Struthio camelus: one gene and its partner. The protein of the gene in region 2 purifies or fractionates together with the protein of the main gene of each other region. This does not show direct contact. Links are inferred from orthologs where the notes say so. Each region holds a gene or a part of one and is shown on either strand. Other genes may lie near its edges.

Region 1 (10,309 bases), on a different chromosome or scaffold from region 2:
AATAAACAGATGTAAAAACCTGGTTATTTCATTCAGATTAAGATTTCCTGATAAAAGTACATCTTACCCTAACTTAAACCACCGATGACGTAAACACAAATTTTATAAGGGACATTACCTCAAGTTTGATAGTGAAACTTCTTTCAGTTAAAGAATTCTGATTACCTAAACTCATGAAATGAAAACAAAGTCAATTTCATTTTCAGATTTTTAATTTCAGAATATTTAGATTTCAAGTACTCCACTGTATGCGGCTCTTTCAACAGTCATTTCTGGAAAAATGACTATGCTTTTGCAATGTTCATTGAGACCACGTGTATTAAACAGCTCGAAAGTAAAATACTTTTATACTTAACCCTGAGACTCAGCTGTGAAATGCTGGTATAGCAAAACACTACACTAGTTATTCCGTCCCATGCTGAAATACCTGGAGCAGTCCACATTCTTAGCTACAATTTCAAGGTACTTAAAAGCAAACCCAAAAAACTCTGCAAGAAACCCACCGTTTGTTCAGTATGACATCTTTTACCTTTCAGTAGCCTCTTAAACTGACATATACTAAACATACATAAAGGTATGAACAAGTTTGAATAGTGAAGATAGTATTAGAAAAGATTATATTGATTCAGATATAGAATATTAACGGTCTTCTATTAGTGAGACAAAAACACTCTTCAGTAGCACATTGTAATTCGTGACACGGTGCTTCAATATAGTAACTTTAAAGAACATCTGAGGCAAGTTAAAGTAAGAGAGGCCAACCAAACTAAAGAAGTTACAATTTCAAATGAAAACACAACAAGCGTTAAGGCCACCAAATACCCACTTCTACATTTCACATGGGATTATAATTCATAGCCATATAAATCAAAACATGCATGTCACAATTTCAAAACTTTGCAAACCTAGCTGTCATTCTCATTTCTGCTAGCTTCATCAGCCATAAGGTATGCTAGGAAATAATCAAAGTTCTTCAGAGCTCATCTCCCTTGCATCACTTGGGGTTATGCTCACTGGCTGACTGTAACAGAAATGAGCATCTGAAGATGCTCTGCAATCTTTTCAGAGACAACCGTCAAAATCTGCTTCAAACAAAGCTGCATTTAAAAATGAACCAAATCGCAAAAAATAAATGCAGGAAACTTTACCTTAATTGGAGCACGGCTAAACTGTATTTTTCTGTTGGCTGGGATTTCATCTTCATCTGGCAATCCATTAATTTCGGAGTATTCCATATCAGGTTCATAACAGTTATCCTCATCACTGTCATCCTGATCATCCTGTTCTGTACCAGTCTCTCCCCAGTCAGAATTATACCTCGATCGTACCCTATATACGTTGTAGTCAGAGTGCATGTACACATGGGAACTCTGGAAATTGCTCACATCTTCATTTACCTCCTTTTCACCTGTCTCATCAAAATGGGACTCTGCAGCATCTGAAACGGCATCTGCTGCAAAATCACCACCTGACACCAAATTTCTTGGTATTTCTGAAGCTTCAGGCCTATCAAAGATACCCTCTGCATTTTCTGATCGTTCCTTTTGTCGCAACAAAACTTCCGTGTCTGTTTTTGACTTATGCCTAGCACAACTGTCCACAGACCTTTCACTGTCAGGTGCATTGACCAAATCCTGTGGACTCACCACACAGCTATCAACAGAATCAGCACTTGCCTCCGTTTTCTTTTTTATTTCTTCAGTTGGTTTTGAACCCGATGAAGTGCCTATAGACGTTTTCTGCCTTGATGGGGAAGGTGTGCTATTTTGCTGAGAGTTCTCAACGGATGCCAAGCTTGTACTTTGTTTGGCTGGCGGAGACCACGTGCCGGCATCTTTCAAAGGACTGAACCCCTCAAGGTTTGCAACAGGGGAGGAGATACTTGCAACGGTAGAAGACAGATTTAGTGGATAGTGACCAGTTACAGAGTATTCTTCATTGTTCTCTGACTTTTCTAAAACAATTACGTTGTGTGAGTCAGTGTTTTCAAAAACTGCACTGAGCTGACTCACAGTTGGAGAGACAGTCTCTGTCCTTGGGCTAAGACTGTCCAATGAATCAGTGCTGCCTCTGTGAGATTTAGAGCTGCACCACTCATCCGGAAGCTCGCTGGAAACCACTTTCTCTTTCTTTGGGGAATAGCGATTGGAATGTCCCATTTCATGAGCATTTCGCTCAAACATCTTTCGAGTTTCAGTAAACTTAGAATAAGAAGGGCCATCATGGATAGTATCAAATCTACTAATCCTTTCTGAAACAGAAGATTCCAATTTTACAATGGAACCATCCGTTTTTTCTACAAATTCTTTGGGCCTAATTCGCCTCTGAGGTGATGGTGGGCCACCCTTTCCCCTTGTTTTAGGGGTAACTCCAGCACTTTCAGTGGGCTCCATGCCCATCTGCATAAATAAGTTCTTAATCCTATTGACATTTGAGCCATACTTCCTCCCCCTGCTCTGGGAGGCCTCTCCTTCCTCTTTCGTTTTTTGGTCTCCATCTGATTTCGGTTTGTCAAAGGTGCTTTTCAGCGCCTGGAACTCAGTTCTGTAAGCATTCCTGTGAGGAGAGGCACTTCGGAGGGTTGATCTTTCTCCTGAAGACTCTGTTTTTATCATGTTTACTTCAGGAGTGCAAAACCACCTTACATAATTACGGAGGTACCACTCTCAGCAACCTGTTACAACTGAGATTCTGGTTGAGAAGCGTTTCTTAGGCAGCACTGCTCTTCGGCAGGGCCGTGCCTGACAGAAGATCTGGAGGCAAATATCTAAACATATGGAGTCAATTGTGACAAAGCAGCAAGACCGAGGAGGGCTTTTGGGAACAAACGTAGATGTAACCTGCAACAGAAAGTAAGGCTTTCTGAATCATGTCATGCACTTGTACTTCCTTAAATCTAAATGACACTTTCCCTTTATATAGTTATTTGAAATTACATTTACAAAACAAGGAAAAAATACAACCCAGCAGCACACAAACATATGAACACTTGTAAGTAATTACAGTTTTTTTCAAACTGATTGCTGAACAATTGGCAAATTTATAAAATAACTCTAACATCACTCCATAGTGAAAGCATGGATTATCATGTCTAACTGTTCACAAAGATGTATCACGTCACAAACATGCAAAGGAAAAACAAGGCGACAAGAGAAATACCACTACTTTTATCGTACCAAACTCTTCCTCAGCGACAAGAGAAAAGCAGAATCAAAAAAACCCCACAACCCTCCGAGTGTCTTATATGTGACCCTAAAATAACTCGATGCAAACACGATGGTTCTGCTTCCCCGAGGCACTGCAAGATAACCCTTCTTCTCTCAGGGAAACATAATGGTAGAAATACCCTCTCAAATAACACACTCAGAAAGACTGCTCCAAAATGAAACAGGAGCTCGAGCGAAACAGAAAAATTGCACCCACAGCTAACGCTCTCAGCTCAAACAGCAAAGAAAGTGAAACCTAGTTAGGAAAAGTTGTCCCTGGCCGCCGGCAGTGCCGCCAGCGCCGCAGGGCGCAGGGGAGCGCCCCGCCAGCCGCCCGCGGGCAGCTGCCGGCAGGATCGGCCCCGGGGGCCCCGCGGCCGCCGGGCCCCGCGCAGCGCCACACGGCCGGCCAAACGCCTCGGCGCCCGCTCGGCGCGCTGCGCGGGGCGGCCGGACCGCGCCGGGGGGCGCACACACGCGCACACACCTCCCCTGCCCCCCCCCACCCCGGCAAGGCGAAGCCACATCACGTTGGGCGATGCAGCACAACGCGCTGCGAAACGCACCCGGCCGCGCCGCGGATCCGGGCCGGGCAGGGCGCGGCGGCTCCGAGCTGAGGGGCGGCGGCGGCGCGCGGCCTCCAACGGCCGGGAGCGGCACGCGCCAACGGCCGGAGCGGAGCCCAGCCGTCCCGCGTACCTGCGCCAGTCGCCCCCTATCCTCGCCCTCCCGGCGACATCCGCCGCGCTGGCGGCTCGCGGGAAAGGGCGCGGGAGGAAATAAACTTAAAAGCGCCGAGGGCAGCGCCGCGACGCGCAGGCTGGAAGGCGCGGGCCGCGGGCGGCAGCACCTTGCGGCGGGCAGGGCTGCGCGGGCGGCAGCCCCGGCGCGGCGCGGCCGGGCCCGGCTGTGCCTGCCGGGCGCCAGGGAACAAAAGCCCCTTGCGGCGGCTCCTCCGCGCCTTCCCCGCGGCGCGCACGCTTCCTTACCCGCCAGCCTCCCGCCTCAGCGCGGCCCCCGCTCCTCCTGCGGCCGCCGGCTGCTCGGCGCCTCCGTGGAGAACGGCCGCTGCCGCCACCCGCCTGACAGGAGGCACCAACCGCCGCGGCGCCTCAACGCCATTGCAGGCGGCGGCGGCGGCGGCGGTTGGGGCACCGACACGGCTCCGCGCACACACCCGCGGCGCGGCGCGGCGCGGCGCGGGGGAGGAGGCGAGCCGCCGCGCCCCGCCGCAGCCCCGCTCCCGCCCCCTCCGGCACGGCACGGCACGGCGCGGCGCGGCCGCCGCTCTGGGGCCGCCGGCAGCCGGCGGGTGACAGGTGCCTCACCTCTTCGGCCAGCCGCAATGGTCTGTTCCGCCGCGGGCGGGCCGCGCTCCCGCCGCAGCCCGGCCCGAGGCGGGCGGCGCGGAGCGGCAGAGGCCGGGCCCCGGCCGCAGCGGCCCGCCCAGCCCGCCCCGCCGCGCCCCGGGCGCCGCCTGCCCGCGGGCCGCAGCGCCCGGCTCCGCTCGCCCGGCTTCTCCAGCCCGGGGACGGCGGGTTTTCCCCCGGCCGGAGGAAGCGGCTCGGTAACCGGGTCCGCAGCGCTGGCGATCGCCGCCTCCCGCCCGTTCCCGCGGAGGAGAGCGGGGTGCGCGGCGGGGCGGCTCGGCCGGAGCGGGGCACGGTGCCGGCGGCGGCGGCCAGGGAGCGCGGGGGCGGCGCGGCGCCGAGCCGAGCGCGCCGCGACTCCGCCGCGGAGCGGGGCTTGCAGGCTCCCGCCCTAGCTCTTAAAAAATAAGGCATGTAACACAGCCTACCTAAACGAGTAATGCACTGCTAACAAATCCAGACAAACCACTAAACAACTCTCGTAAACGTGACTTGTTCTGGCAATTGCCGAAAGGGAGGCAGGATGACAGGAGATTACTGTACTTACACAGTATAACCGCAACCAGCTTTCTCCCGTTGTTTTGTTAGCTAGGTGAATTTGCCACAAACATGTTTTGGCTTTAAACAGTGAGTAAGAAAACTTAACTGCGGAGCGCGCGATCTCTACGGAATCTGTAAAATTGGCAAGCCAAGACGGTAGTGACTCCTAATCCCACAGCAACCTCCAAGCAAAGTTCATTAAACTAATTGCATAAACGTCCAAGAAATGGCCCGAGGATGTACATTGCAAATACTGAAAAATCATTATTATGTATACAGAATCAAGATACAAGTGACTGAAAATAAAGGTGTAAGGTAGACAGCTTTACAAACGTAATTCATTAGTTTTAATGAGACAGAAGCCACGTGTACCATATACCATTCTAGGTATGTGCAGATGTCGGTCTTCTCATTTGCACCAAGGGTACAACTCGGAATATTTGCCTCAATAGAGTTTAAATATCTAACACATTAATACCCACTGGGAAAAAAATTCCAGTCTTTTAAAACACCTTGAAAAAGAATATTTCCGTAAGAATGTATGCTAAAGGGCAGAATCAGAAGCGAGAACATTTAAACAGCGTTTTTTCCACCGCTGGGAAGAAGCCTGTCCTGATGCTTTGCGTGGCTTCCACTCAGGCTATTGGCAGGTGAGGCTCGCAGCACGGAGTGTGGGGGGGGGGGGGGGGGGGGGCATGCTGCATGCCCTAAAGGCTGCTCAGCATTACCATGCCAAAGCGCTGCAGCACAGCAGGGAGAAAGGGAGATCACAGGAGGTAAGTAATGACTGAGGATATAGATACCCGAACTTCAAAAGCAGTTGCAGAAAACTTCACTTCTGAGACAGTATCCTAAAGCAGAAGGATGATGGAACAACTGCTGCTTCACAGCTTCTTCTGCTGAGGATTCCTACAGCTGTTTCCCTGCGCGAGGACTAGAAAGGCTACAACTAACCAGGATATTCACTATTAAATTGTTAACATCAAATAACATACCAGATCTGAGGCCCAACATATTTGACAGTGTCTTTCTATTAGTATCATTTTGTGGAAATAAAACCATAAGAATACTTAAGAGAGCTGCTTGACTTCTGAAGATAAAAATACGTTAAGAGAACTTCAAGTCTCCTTTATTTTCCCTCCACAGAGAACAGCAATGAATAGCGACATAAAGCAGAAATGTAAATGTTTTATTTTGTGAATTTAGACTAAGCATGCAGAATCGTTAAAGAACTTACTATGTCCTTACTAGAGATGTATATGGAAGAGTTTTATAATTCACATTTTACCACAAGAAAAAAGGTGACACAACATTAAATGAGATGAAACAACTAAAGCAATTTTAAAGAGAGTAATTAGCACCTGTGAAAATAATTAAGAAGTTACCCAGTACTGTATCTACGTGGCACATATTCAAAGCTGTAATTATTACTTAAATCTTTTATCTAACAGAAAAATTTCAAGCAAAATTGGCACTCCTGCCCCCCCCCATTAATATATTTTTTAAATAATCTATCCAGGAAAACATTTGTGTTATTTTATGGCCGGATAATGCAATCCATATATTATACTTCAGTAGAAAACAAGGGAATGAGATGACGTACTCTGATGGAGCAACTTGCTGACAGATCAAGCACACAAGAAACCTCAAGCTTTTCACGCTGAGAAAGGTTATAATTACATTTATGTTCTACTTTAATGTCTTTTAAGTAGATTGCATAGCAGTTAAAGAGGACTCTGCCTGCCTCTGACACAGAAGCTAACACAAAGCCATTTTAAATAATTTTATGTTCTCTCAACACCACCTCATGCTGACAACTGCCAAGATTTGTGGCAACTACTGGTAATTTTAGCTGCTCAGAGATAGTTTGGACCTTATTTAGGGGATCTGATTTTGGCTACTGACATCTAAGATATTCAAACTTATTAGTCACTCACGAAAACTCTTCATTCTACGTCCTTATTTACACAGTGCCTATGTTAAACCAACAGTATTATACAGTCTCTAGAATAATAAAATGTATCTTGTTTTGATTAGTATGTCACCTTCCAGGAGAGACTCCTCATACATGAGCATGGCCATGCAACTAACTATAAAAATCCACAAGAATTGTGGATCCTTTTACATTTTTAGTATTTCTGTGTCAATCCATTTGACTAGAAGGTATTTTTAGGCTCTGTTAAAGCATGATTGACATTTCTGTTAATTCCTAAGCAACATTAAAACACTGCACAGCACACTCTGGGGAAGATAAGAGACCAAGTTTCTCCTTATTACATTAGGATAAACTCAATAACTTCACTGAAGTTACGGAACTACTCTGCTCCCAAACCAACGCAAGTTTCAGATCTGTTCAGTTGAATAGTTACATAGGGTAGAGCGTGGCTGTCATTTTACGGCACCAGAGCAACAGCTCCATTCACATGATTCTGAATGTGCACATACGACAGGAAGAGAGACCCAAGTCGTTTAACCTGACAGCATCACTTTAAATTTTACTCAGTCTCTTTTTAAACCAGTTTTGATGCAGTACTCCAAGGCTTAAAATAATCAATTTTCCATTCATTTCATGTGTGGATTATGTTTACTTATGAACGTAACTATCTGGATGTCATTGATGGGTTGTTCTGAGTGACACTTGTGCTTCAAAGATACTCATTTACTGAGATTAGCAATATATTCACACAGCAGAGCGGTAATGCAAGTTTCTCCGCACGGCCCGGGAAAAAGAAGAAAGTCATCCTGTCATCTTTCTCTTGTCAACTTCTTTCAAGCCTTGGAAGACAGTATCTGTACATACACGTAGAAATGGAAACTATTTACCTATTCTGATCGTCAGCTAAGAAAGTGTCTATCTGCTGCCCCATCAAACCACTGCAGAGGAGAAGGAGGTTTTTTTTCTTTAGACATATCACAGCATAAGCAGAACTGAGTTTTATCGTTCACTCTCAGCCAGTTAGAGAATATGAATTCTTTTTACATAATCTAATTTAAAGAAAAATAACTTGTCTGAACAAAGAGATATAAACATTTTGGAAGATAAGGTGACTTAGGGATCCATCTGTACCAGAGTAGCATGAGACTAAAATAAACAACAATCACAGCTATAATAATGAGTTGATAACATTTAGTTTCAAATATTATAAATCTGTTGTTGCAGTGAGTGTAATTCTTCTGACTGTAATCTCTTCCACAGGAAGACATTAATAGTTAAAAATGGGAGCTCATTAGTATCACTCATTTGGCAATTTCAGAAGGTTGTGCTGTTTTCACACAGAACATCAAATTACTTGAAAGCTCAAGAACAGTGTCTAAAAGGGGACTTTGTCCTGTAAAATCTGAAGAAAGAAGCTCTGGCAATGATAACAAGACTTCATGTTTTAACAATTTAACAGAAAAGCAAATATTAGCATCATGAGGGCCTAAGCTCAGAACAGCAATATCCCTTTCTGAGTTACTGTAAGAATACTGTCACATCCATTCTTAAACATTCTACTTTAAGGTGTTCAAATAACGCACGGTTATGGCTAGTAAAGAAAATGGGAAAGTATTTTTCAAAAAGGAAAAGCGTTGCACACTACATACAACTAATTACATTGAACTACTGCCTTTGCTAAAATAGAAAGCTAGAAATGGTTGAAAGAGCTGTATTTCATTAGCCTTCTGTCACTGGCCCTCAACACTGAACTCTGTTTTTTAGCACAACATAGACAATCATCAGCTACCAGCCTAATTAGAAGGATGTCAGCTAGTTGCAGAAAATAGGAAATGAAAAGACTAAATGTTCACTCTAATGCAAATTTTTAGTAAGAATCAAACCCTGGCAAAACACATATTTAATGTTAAGCTCTTCAGGAGGGGAAAATGTTAGGAAACATTCTTTAACCTCGATTAGTTGACAGAATAAGTAAGATATTCCTAGGTGAATGGTACCTATCACAGTCATCTGATTCATCAGATGATATCATATGTAGATACGTGGTACAGAGAACTCTCTCTCCATCCCAACATCAGTAAGAAAGATTTAAAGTCAGAAAAGTTAGTACTTCAACTATTCCAAAGCAGAACACCTCAAATTTGCATGAGATATATTCCCTGTTAACTGTATAAATATGGAAGTTGTATTTTTCATGGTTGGATCTAAAGTAGAAAGTTGGGAATCTCATAATAGTATTAACCATTAATAAATACTTTATTATAGCAAAACTTTCTATAACACACATTTTCTGTTGAAAAGAAAATTACTCTCAATAGCCAGAATCGGGAATACAGAAATTAACAGGGTCTGCCAGTCTGTGCAAAAGCATTATCTCCAGTGTATTTATTGTGCAGTAAATATCCACTATTACTCTTAAGGAAAGCACATTTAATGAGCCAGGGGAAAACTAGGAGAAGAGGGAGGAATGTATTTGATGTTCAGACCTAAAAAGTGTACTTGATACTGTCAGTACATAACACACAAGCAAATGTGATTGCCGAGTTCACCACCTTGCCAAATCAAGTAGTGTTCTGTGCCATGAGAAAGATGTAAGACAGCAAGTTCTGCCTTCACCTTTTCCAAATGACTGACCATTTGTACTTGGTGGCACTTCGGAGCTTGTACTCCCGCTCTGGAGACAAAAACAAATGATTCCTCAGTGAAAGATATAGAAGCCAGAAATCATGAAATACAGCACACTAGCGCTGTCTTGCAGTGTGCAATACATTGGCATGTCGGGGAAATACTTGTCTAGGTTGCTCCACCCTGAAGCTGATGACTATGCCTGTCATTGAGCTCACATCGTAATAGTCTGTGGTTCAAACCCTGCTGGTAACATAGATGTAGACCTGTTATGACTGCGTTAGTGGAATTTGCTTCTCCCTTTTCCTTAAAAAAAAGTAATTAAAATAAATACAAATGAGAAAACAGCTGCTTAGCTGAAAATAGTAATCTGTCATTTACAGAACGTACAACAAAACTAGGTTTTGGTTACTTGCCACATACTTTGATTGCTTTTCTCTCCACTGATAGGTGAAAAGTACTACCTTGGTAAAATACCCACAGGAAAAATTTGCTCTCAAAGCTAGATTTGTTAATCAGTTTAATTTAGTGCACAAGAGCAAGTAAATATTTAATTACTGTGTTCTATATGGCATCAGCTACTAGGCCAGCTAAAAACATTCAGTTAATTTGGAAGAGCTGTACGCTTTGCC
Region 2 (9,853 bases):
GCCCGGGACGTGGAGCAGAGGCTGTCCCAGGAGGAAGAAGGTTTCCTCTTGAGTCACTTCAGGCATCCCTGGAAACCGCTCTCCGGAGCCGGGTGCGAGTCGGCTGAGCCCACAAGAGCGCAGCTCAGCGCAGCTCCGGCTGCGGATTTCAGATGGGTGAAACCAGCCCGGTACCCGCTCCCGCAGCCGGGAAACTGCTACTGCTTATCCAGTCCTGAGCGCCGGCCACGCTCCCTCGGGGGCCTGCGAGACGCTGCGGTTTCGCACACAGCACATCCAGCCCCGACTCCACCTGCAGTCACGCGGACGCTGAACGCGGCTGCGGCAAAGGCAGCACGCGCTGAGCGGACCCGCTAAGGACGTCCTCCTCCACGTTTCGTCCCGGCTCCGAGGGATGCTGAGAGCAGAGGAAGCTCCAGGGCAAAGCAGCAGTTTGCAGTGATGTGTCCGAGCTACACGGACGAACCAGGCGGGAATGCAGGGTTCAAAGCCTCCGAATCCTTGCGCGTACCTTTTGGCTCAACAATATGTAACAGCAGCCTGGCTCCCGAAAATCTGCCTGCCTCACTAAGGGACAGCTGAGAGGAGGAGGTGAGAACAGAAACAAATAAACAAACACACGTGGCAGCTACCTCCACAATGGACCACGTTTTCAGACACTGCAAAGAAGCAGAAACTCCAGGCGTCCGACTGGAGTCAGTGGGACTGTTCTGGATTTGCAGGAGCGTAAGGGAAACCCAAACCTGGACCAGCAAAGCCACCATGCTCTGAGCACTTCTGACCTTTGGTGCTCCTGGGACACCGGCCTCCTGTAAGCCGGCAGGTATCTGCAGGCCAGATGCCCTCTTCCCACGTATTTCATCTGCGTTTCAAATTTCCTGGTGGAGCCAGTGATGCCCAGGGTGTGCTGAAGATCTCCAGCTCGTTCCCACTTCTCTTGTGCCATGATTGCTCTCCCCCCGCGGCACTCAGAAGCGCAACCACCGTTTCACAAAGGAAAAATCAAGCTAGAACTGATCTTCATCTTATTTCTGCTTCCATGCTCACCTGACAGCCCTCCTGGTCCTCCACTCTCATTGGTTTTAATTAGAGAAAGAGTTCATCCATGTCATGAGCATGTTATGTCGGGGTAAAATCAGTGTAAGCGAAGAAGCCAGCTGTGTCCCAGCCCAGCCACTTGCCAGTCCCGGGCTGCTAACACGCTTTTCTGGCCAATGCAATGAAGAACATCCCTGAAGTGCTTTCTTCAAGCCACGTGAAGTCAAAGCTGCCCAGAATGTCCCCTTAACCTTTCCAAGGTGCGGTGGCCTCTCCCCCTCTTGCAGTGTCCACTCCACATGGTGGGAAAATTGAAACCCTCTGTAACGATGTCTGAGCAAGCAGACCGAGAGGAGAGACGCTCAGCGAACCCCTTCGCTCCCGGCTGCCTCTCTCCTCCGCAGCAAAGACAAAAAGGAGATTATGTTCGCCCTGCCATGGACCAGCTAAAGGAGGACTGAAAAGCCCTTCGCTGGACGCGTAGCGCTGGCTGCTGCGCACGTTGTTTTCGTTCCCCGTCCTTGAATGGCTCCGTGGCAATCAGCTGAGCCCCACGGAAACCCGCAAAAGCTTTCTAGCTAGTTATGAAACTCGGCCTTTGGCAGAGCACAGAGATTCCCGGCCCAAGAGGGGAAGACAGGGGCTCCGGTCCTTGCCAAAATAGCGTCAACTGATCCATTACGGCTGTTCACCGCTTAAAGCAGGACAAAGTCTTCTTTAGCCCCGTTTCCCCTCTCAGTCTTAGCGATGGACCGGCCCTCCGCCACGCTCGAGCAGGGATGCGCAGCTGCGGCATGACGCGCCAATCTGCTCTTCTCCAAACAGGTCTTGTGCCTGGTCTAGCCTCAAAAGCCAGATCCCTAGAACACACTCCTTGAGAGGCTGGAACGTGCTGGGTTTTTAATCCAAATAGCTATAGCAGGAAAATCCTACTGTGGTCACAGCTGTATCAGAAAAAAAGTGACTTAGGACATTTTTATATGAGAAGGGTTTTACTGGTAGTATTTTTGCCAGTGTGAACTTTCCAAGACTTACCAGCAGAACATTTTCCCATCCAAAAATACCTTTCATGAGAAAGCCTTGAAGTACATCAACTTTGACAAAAAAAAGGTAGGAGGGGAGGAACTGCAAATAACATTTCTACCATGTCTCAAGATTTTTCGAACAGAATCTTTTAACATGTTTTATCGAAAATGTGATTCTAACAAACTTGAGATAGGCTTGTCATTGTTGTTGGCAGTTTCCTTTGCTGGGAGATTTCAGAGGGAAACCAACTGCTGAGACTGTGAAATTTTCGGCTCCGTGGAAAATTCAAGGCCTGGCTTTTGGGGGAGGAGGGGTGGAGGGGAATACGGGCGCTATGCGATGGCAAACGGCTGCGCAGGCAAAGGCTGGGCGCTTTCCCCCAGAGCAGAGAGCGGACTTCTCCCACAGCCTCAGGGTCAAGGTGTTGCACAGGGAAAACAAGGCTTCCTAATTTTCTCATGCGTGGGCTGACGACTTCAGAAAAGCAAAAGTTTGGTAAGCAGGGAGAAGGGAGCGCGGGAGGCGCTCTGCCGTTGGCGTCCGGCCTCTGCACTGGGTACAAATCCCCCGTGAGCCCCAGGGCGAAGGCAGCGGCTCCGGAGCAGCGGAAAGCCTTGCTCTCTCGTTCGGGTCCCTCGCAAAGGACCTGCGCGCCCGCCTGCAGCTCGCACGTCTTGTTGCTCAAGGCAGATCAATGCACTGTATGTTTTGTAAATAAAACAGGACACTAAGAAAATACCTGATTCTGCGTCACCGACTCCTTTCCAAGCAGAACACAGACCCCTACATCTCCAAAGCAGCCTCATGGCACTGCCCAGCTGCTCTTCGTTTGCCTGAAAAATTGCCACCGTCTGCCCCCAGACTCTGGCAACATCCAAAATTTTGGGGTCAGTGAAATACTTTAGGCATCAGGAATAAGAGGCATCCATAAAAAGTTTATCTTGATCATAACAGCAGGCTATCTGGATGCAAACAGTACGAGCTATGAAAACATTTAAATCATATCTGAATATCTAGTCAGGAGAAACAACATTTGCCCCACATTTTTTATTCTTCCAGTGTTTGAACAGCCCTTGTAGATCTTTGTTTAAAATGTACACAAACACATTGAATTTCACGGACTTAGCAAATATGTAATCTAAAGCAAGGGGAAGCGTGGGTGACTCGCATTTCTTAGGATCCACCTACATACTGGAACAAAAAAAAAGGAGCGTTTCATGATTATCTATACATGTGTATATATATATATATATATATATAAGTATATAAAGATATTTATACATCCTATCCCCCAACAGCCCAGAATACGAGCAACCCTACAATAAGCAAAGTAGTATATGCATGACATGAGGAGGACAAATCAGGAGGGAAAGATATTTTATCCTGAGGCTTCCAAGGAATGTTACTCAAGCAGTGATTTATTTGTGGAATTTCAGGAGGGGAGGGAGGACGAGACACAAAGGTCTCACAGCTGCAAGCAAGATAAATCGTACATCATCGTGTATTTAGCAAACTATAATGCAAACTGTAGACAAATACAAGGAAGGGGGAAATATATGAACTCTAAGTTGAGAATTATCAAACGCTTCAAGTCTGCATGCAGCGTTTAAGGGCAAAGGGATATCCCTCATTGTTCCCCCTCTAGAAATAAATCATTGTTCTGAGCAACACTGGAGGAAAAAAATAGTTTCAGGATATTTAACACCTTGGCTGTGTCCCTTTTTTAATCAAGAGAAGCTGTTGTGGGGTGAGGCTTGTTATTTTCAGCAGAGAAAAATTAGCTTATTAAAAAATAACATTGTGGTGGCTTTTTAATAACTGTGGCTCGCATGGAGTTTACTGCTGTTAAGTAAGCGTTCTCATTTTTTGTGTTGATATAGCAAAAATGTAAATGCAAAAGACCTTGTGCAAAAATACAGTTTCCCCTCCGAACAGGAGACCAAGCGTTCCCAGCTGCTGCCGAGACCCAGGAGCAGAGCTGCAGCAAAGCAGGCCGGTTATCAAGGTGATATTGGGGTCTGAATATATTTCCCTCGCTCTGTCACTTCTCTCACTTCCCCTTTGCTATGCCTCTTCTAACGCAAATTGATGGTGCTCTGAACCTTGCCTGATTTGGTTCATCAAGTGAGATATAGTCTCCTCTGAAGGGCCTGATCCTTCCTTCCAGGAGTGTGATGTTCCCGATAAATTTCCATGCGCAGAGGATTAAATCTCCTGGGTCACATGCTGGAAGGTGCTGAGCTCCCCCCCCCAATTTCCCCGAGCATTAACAGGAGTGAAAGGGACTCAGCGTGCCGCAGAAGGTGCTCAGATCCGTGCAGGACTGGTCCTAGGGGAGGGCGTCAGGGGAGAGGGAGTAACAGCTGAAGGATGAGATAAGATGAAGACATTTCCAGCAAAGAAAACAAGGACAGGAAGGTTTCTCTGGAAACGCAGCACCAATTTCCCTCTTTGAACAATTCAGTTAAGTCCAAAGGAGTTTGCTAGAGAAAAACCTGCCCCACAGAATTAGCCGGGATTTGAAAGGAAAGCCTTTGGTGCGAAAGAGCCAGGGAGGGGAGGCTGCCCCTGGGAAGGCGCAGCCCAGGAATAGATGTAAATCTGCAAATGCTGTCACGTTGAAGTAAACCTGGAGTAACGCTATTGTCTGCAGCGGGGTTGCTTTGGGCTTACACCAGTGTGACCGAGATTAGCGTACGGGCTCGGGCGCGCTCATTACGATAAAGCGCTCGCTCGGGGAACTCGAATGTCGAAGCCGCGTTTGGCAACGGCCAGGCGCCCGCGTCGCAGACCGCCTGGCTCTGCGCCCTCTCCTTTCCTCCCTCACGCTGCCTCCAAGGTGTGCTGAGGCTGCAAGTCCTTTGCTTTATCACCCTCCCGAACCTGAACTCTGCTCTGGCCCCACCACGGTAATAAACTGTTATATGAGTATTATGTAACTGTCAGCATGAGGAATCTGGCATGCATAGCATGAGCAACGCACACGGGGAGGAGGAAAGTGGTTGACACAGCCATCCCTGCAAATTAAAGTAGGAGTAAATAAAGCAATTAAACAATATTCAATCAGAGATGCAGACTGAACGCTAGCAAAGGCCTGCACAGCCCCATCTCCCTTGCAAACGCGATCCAATTTACGAGCAGAACCTCGCTTAATTGCTCGCGGCCAAGCCTTTGCCATGCACGAATAAAATAATAATGGAAATGTGAAATAAAACAGCAAGGCGCTCTGGAAAAAAAAAAAAAACGCTCATTTCCCCGGCCGGCCCCCTAAGGATTTCAAAGCGCTGCACAGCGGTACTTAAAAGCAGTCGCCCGGGGAGAGCCGCACGCACCACGTTACTCGGAGGCCTAAGGGCGCGCGCCCGCCGCAGAGCCCCTCGCACGAGCGCCCAGAGCCGCTGCGGCGAGGCAGCTTGGCGTGACCGCGCGCCGGCCGGGCCTCGGCGCCCCGCTGCCGCGTTTCGGCGAGGGAAAACACCCGCGCTCGGTGTTATTTCGCCCCGTTTTGCGGGCCGGGCAGGTGAGGCCGAGGGGCCCGGCCTGCGCCTCGCCTCACGGGGGGCAGCTGGCCGCGGCGGGCCTCGGCCGTGGGGCAGGGCCGAAGGGAAAAACCCCTCGTGGGAGCCGCATCAACGGCTCCCTGCCAAGGGCCTAGCGCCCGCCAGGCGCAGCCCGGCCGCGGCGCCGCACACGCGAGGCCGCACACGCGCGGCGCCCGCTCGCGCCGGACTATTTCGCCTCTTCGCGGCGGCGGAAGGATCCCGCGCGTGCAGCACGCCGTGACGCGCCGCCCCGCCCTCCTCCGCGTGCTTCCCGCGCTGCCTATAAAGGGTTTCCGGTGAGCCGCGTCGCGCCTGTAGTATCCGTGCGCCGGCCGCGCTCGCTGAGGGGAAGGCGGCCATTTTGTTCAGTGCTGGGTCTCTGCTGAGAGCGGCGGCCGAGGGGGGGCGGGGGGGGGACGGAGCGAGAGAGGGAAGAAGGAGCGCGGGGAGGAGAAAAGGAAGGGAAAAGACGAGAGAGACCGAGGAGAGAAGTCAGGCCGGCCAAGCAGCGAGCGGAGGGAGGGGAGCCGCGGGGAGGGGTCCGCCCGGCCGCTGAGAGGCGATGGCGGATATAGACAAGCTGAACATCGACAGCATCATCCAACGGCTGCTGGAGGGTGAGGGTCCGGGCGCGGGGGGAGCCCGGGGAGGGGGCGGAGGCCGAGCCGGTGCCCCCGAGCCCACCGCCGGCTCCGCCGCGGGGCTGCCCCGGCCCCTGAGCGCCCGCTGGGGCCGGGGCACCAAAATGGAGGGGCGCCGAGGCGCTTTGTCTTGCCGGGGCTCGGCGCCGCCGCCGGCCCGGGCGCCCCTGCCCTCCGGCCCCAACTTCTCCCCTAGCCCTCATGTTTCCCGAGCCGTCCCTGCCCTCCCATCCCCTGGGTCCTCCCGGTGCAGGGCTGAGACCCGCCGGCTGGCCCCCTCCTCCAGCCCTGCAGCTCTACGGAGATGCTTAGCTGAGTAAGGTTTTCGTAGGGGAGTGTTTAAAAACCTGAATGCTTAAGCTTGCCTTCGCTACACGCGCACGGGGTCTGGGCTTCGCTAGGTAGTCGTGGGGCTCTGGAAATTAAGCCTTCCCATGTTTAAAGAGTCTGTCGAGGCAGCTTTTCAGAAAGTCGACAGGGGACTTACCTGGGTTCAGGGTATCATATTTTTAGCGCTGATTAACTGCTTGCATTAGTACTACCATTAGACTTTAGGTCTTAACGCGTAACATATGGTGGCTTTTAAAACGCGAATTACAGGTTGGCCTTTGCTCTGTTTTAGACGATATTTGGAAGGGCTTATTGTCCTGTATCGCTAGTGCTTTGGGTTGAAAAGAGTTGAATGGAGTTCAACATCTAAGGAAAATCTAGATGTTGCAGGAGGTGTCAGCAGCGTCTTCCCTTTGGTTGTAAGGGTCAGGATCAGGTTAGAATTGTCAGCTAATCTTTCCTAGGGCAAAAGGTTGAGAAGCAGCCGATGACAAATTTTCTTCCTAGCACCAAGAAAGATTATAATTATTTAGAGAAGGAAGCTAGACTGATCCAGCCTCATTTTAAGTGTGTCAGAGCAGGCATCTCATCTGGATTTTTGCTTGAAGAGCTTGGTCAGGCATTTAACTTTTTTGTTTGGCACAAAGTCATCCAAGATTTTGCTGAGACAAATAGTGAAGAAATGCCTTTGAGCGCTCTCCCAATTTTTTTCTTGTAAAATTTCACTAAATGTCATGACCCGAATAATAATAGGCAAGGCAAAGGGGCAATAGTGCTTCTATAAAATTGGTTGGGATTACAAATCCAGCGGGTGTATTTTGGGATTGTTCAGCTAGAATGAAGAAAAGTAAATAGTGTTTTTTCTCTGATCTGTTTTAGGTTTTGCTTGTTGCCAGTTTAAACTCTCCTGATTTAAGTTGTTTGGAGGCTTCTGTCTGTAATTTAAACCAGTGTTTTCCTGATGCTCTAATACACTTTGTAGGTATCAGGTCCTGTGTGTTACATGCTTGGTGACATATTAATAGATGCTTAATTTTATTGCAGATAGTATAATTTTTATTTGATTTGCTGTAATGCAACTCATGCAGTTTTCTCAAAGTGCAAGTTACTAATATCAAAGACTTGAAATAAGCCTAAAAAAGGTCTGAATAATTTGAATTATTTCCCTTGTTCTGGATTTCAACAAGTAATAAGATGTATTATATCAATATGTTAAATTCTTACCTGGCTTGTATAAGTATTGTACATTGAGAGATGAGAGCTTATAAATGAGGTTTCAGAAGCTTCACTGACAAGATCTTTGAGATGACTGTGTAACAAAAGATATTATTACCTAGGGTTGCGTCAGCTGTCAGAACTGAAATAATTTTTTTACTTTGACATTTTAGTTAGAATTTCTGATTTCTTGGGGCAACAAATGTCTTTTGGTATTTAAAACAATTATGAATGTTAATAACCCATGGCATATTTACACCTATATATTTGTCTTGTTTATTGCTTATTGAAAATATATTATATAAGGTATAATACAGCTTTCTTAGAGCAATGGTTGACCTTTGTGACAATTTCTTTTTTTTCCAGAGAGGGCAAAATGATAATGCGTTTGGGCTAGTGCTGCATTCTTGATAGACTGCTAAATTGTGTGAATTACTGTGCAAACGCCATTCTCTCTGTAGTTGTTTGAAATTTTCTTGACTCATCTGTTTCCTGAGGTTATTAAGATACAGCTAGGTAGATGACAAGATTGATCTAAAGGGCAGCTCTGCGTGGTATCAAAAAAACCAAAAATCTAAAGGGTGTGTGTAAGAGAATTTTTAATCCTTTTTAGATTTGGACTGAGCATGAGAAATTTAAGACATTTGTATGTAGTGTAGTGTTCTTTTTCAATATAGTTCTTTTTCAGTGCAGTTTTAGTAGAATTGCATCATGTTCAGTTATATAAAGTTTGGTATGTCTGTACCCAGGATTCTGCTCCCTTTTCGGGCTGGATTCTGCACTGATTAAAATGATAGCCAACCACATACTCACTACAAAAACTCTTTTAATAACTAGCTGACTCGCAAATTGAATTGCCCAAATCCTTGTTCAAGGTTTAATTTTTAAATCAATTTGATATTTTACCAGTTATACCTATCTTTAAACTGTATGCTTATGTATTTTTATAACAGTTATTTCAGGTGATTTTGCTTAAAAAAAAGTAAAGATATGAATATGTAATGTGGCAGTAATCCCTTCTTCCTTTTTAAAGGTAATAAAATCAATGTTATGGAGATACTTTATGAAATATTTCAAATCGGTAAGAAAATAGTGGATATTTGTATTTTATAATATGTCTTGGTGTATTGCACTGTTGGATGAGACCCAAAGAGTTAAGCAGGTAGTGAATCTAGTCTAATTGTCCAGGTGGAGTGAAGTGGTTAAATGGTGAATAATAAATTACTCTAGCTTTTGTTCTTAATATAGGGTATTAATAATGTATTTGTGAGGGGGTTTTACTTGCTTTCTATTCTGCCATCTCCTCTTATAAAAATTGAGACAATTGTTCTTATCAAATGACATTATTCTTACTTTTTCCCCAAATAGTTGATATATCCCACCCACATTAGGCTATTTAGCTGAAATTACTAGATTATCCTTTAAAAGGCTTGGAAGCATCTATTTGGCTTCTCATTCTAAGGTAAATATTTGGAGAGTCTTTTTTTCTCCAAATGTTTATAGTACAGAGCCATTTGGCATTGAAATGTCACCAAAAACATTTTTTCAGTGACATTGTTCTCAACCTTGGAGAGCGGCTTGATGAAAACATTGAACATAGTGATCTTTTTTTTGTTGTAATTGAATTTATATTTTATTTGCCTTACTCCTTTGCTAATGAGGGTTATATTCTACTAGGAACAGTTTGTCTAATTTTGTCACTTCTAGTAACTTTCCTAGCAATGATTTTCACAAGAGCAAGGCTTTCCAGAGTATAGTAAATAACAGTATGCTCCATTGAGTATTGAAATGTTTCCTCAATGTCTTTGATAGCGGATATAGGCTCAAATATAATAGAGCAAGCTCACTTTACTGAGGAATAAGAAAGGATAAACTTGAGGGCAAATTATCCTTCTCCTGGAAGGAGTATTGTAGGCAGTAACCACTTGTAAAATTAATAGTTCTGAGCTTGCAGCTGTATATGTCTTCTAAATCGGAACTGCCAGGAGTCAAGAAAAATGCCGGCAAAGCTCCCTGTAAGATGAAGAGTTAGGAGCATCTGTATAGTCATGGAAAGAGTTC

Evidence for each region. The genes of interacting proteins can lie anywhere in the genome.
Region 1: the proteins of PPP1CC (region 2) and PPP1R9A purify together in Homo sapiens (affinity purification with mass spectrometry; 6 studies listed by BioGRID and IntAct, counting the BioPlex papers as one, with this or other methods). This does not show direct contact. The link is inferred for Struthio camelus from reciprocal best matches to the Homo sapiens genes PPP1CC and PPP1R9A.

What each region holds. Positions count from the first base shown.
Region 1 is NC_090943.1:28,571,569-28,581,877, reverse strand, and holds the start of PPP1R9A (neurabin-1), read right to left. Parts: upstream 4,631-10,309; 5' UTR 4,535-4,630; intron 4,452-4,534; exon of another isoform or gene 4,196-4,451; intron 3,998-4,195; exon of another isoform or gene 3,906-3,997; intron 2,841-3,905; 5' UTR 2,616-2,840; coding exon 1,149-2,615; intron 1-1,148. UniProt on the Homo sapiens protein: Binds to actin filaments (F-actin) and shows cross-linking activity. Binds along the sides of the F-actin. May be involved in neurite formation. Inhibits protein phosphatase 1-alpha activity.
Region 2 is NC_090958.1:18,079,786-18,089,638, reverse strand, and holds the start of PPP1CC (serine/threonine-protein phosphatase PP1-gamma catalytic subunit), read left to right. Parts: upstream 1-5,881; 5' UTR 5,882-6,168; coding exon 6,169-6,223; intron 6,224-9,853. UniProt on the Homo sapiens protein: Protein phosphatase that associates with over 200 regulatory proteins to form highly specific holoenzymes which dephosphorylate hundreds of biological targets.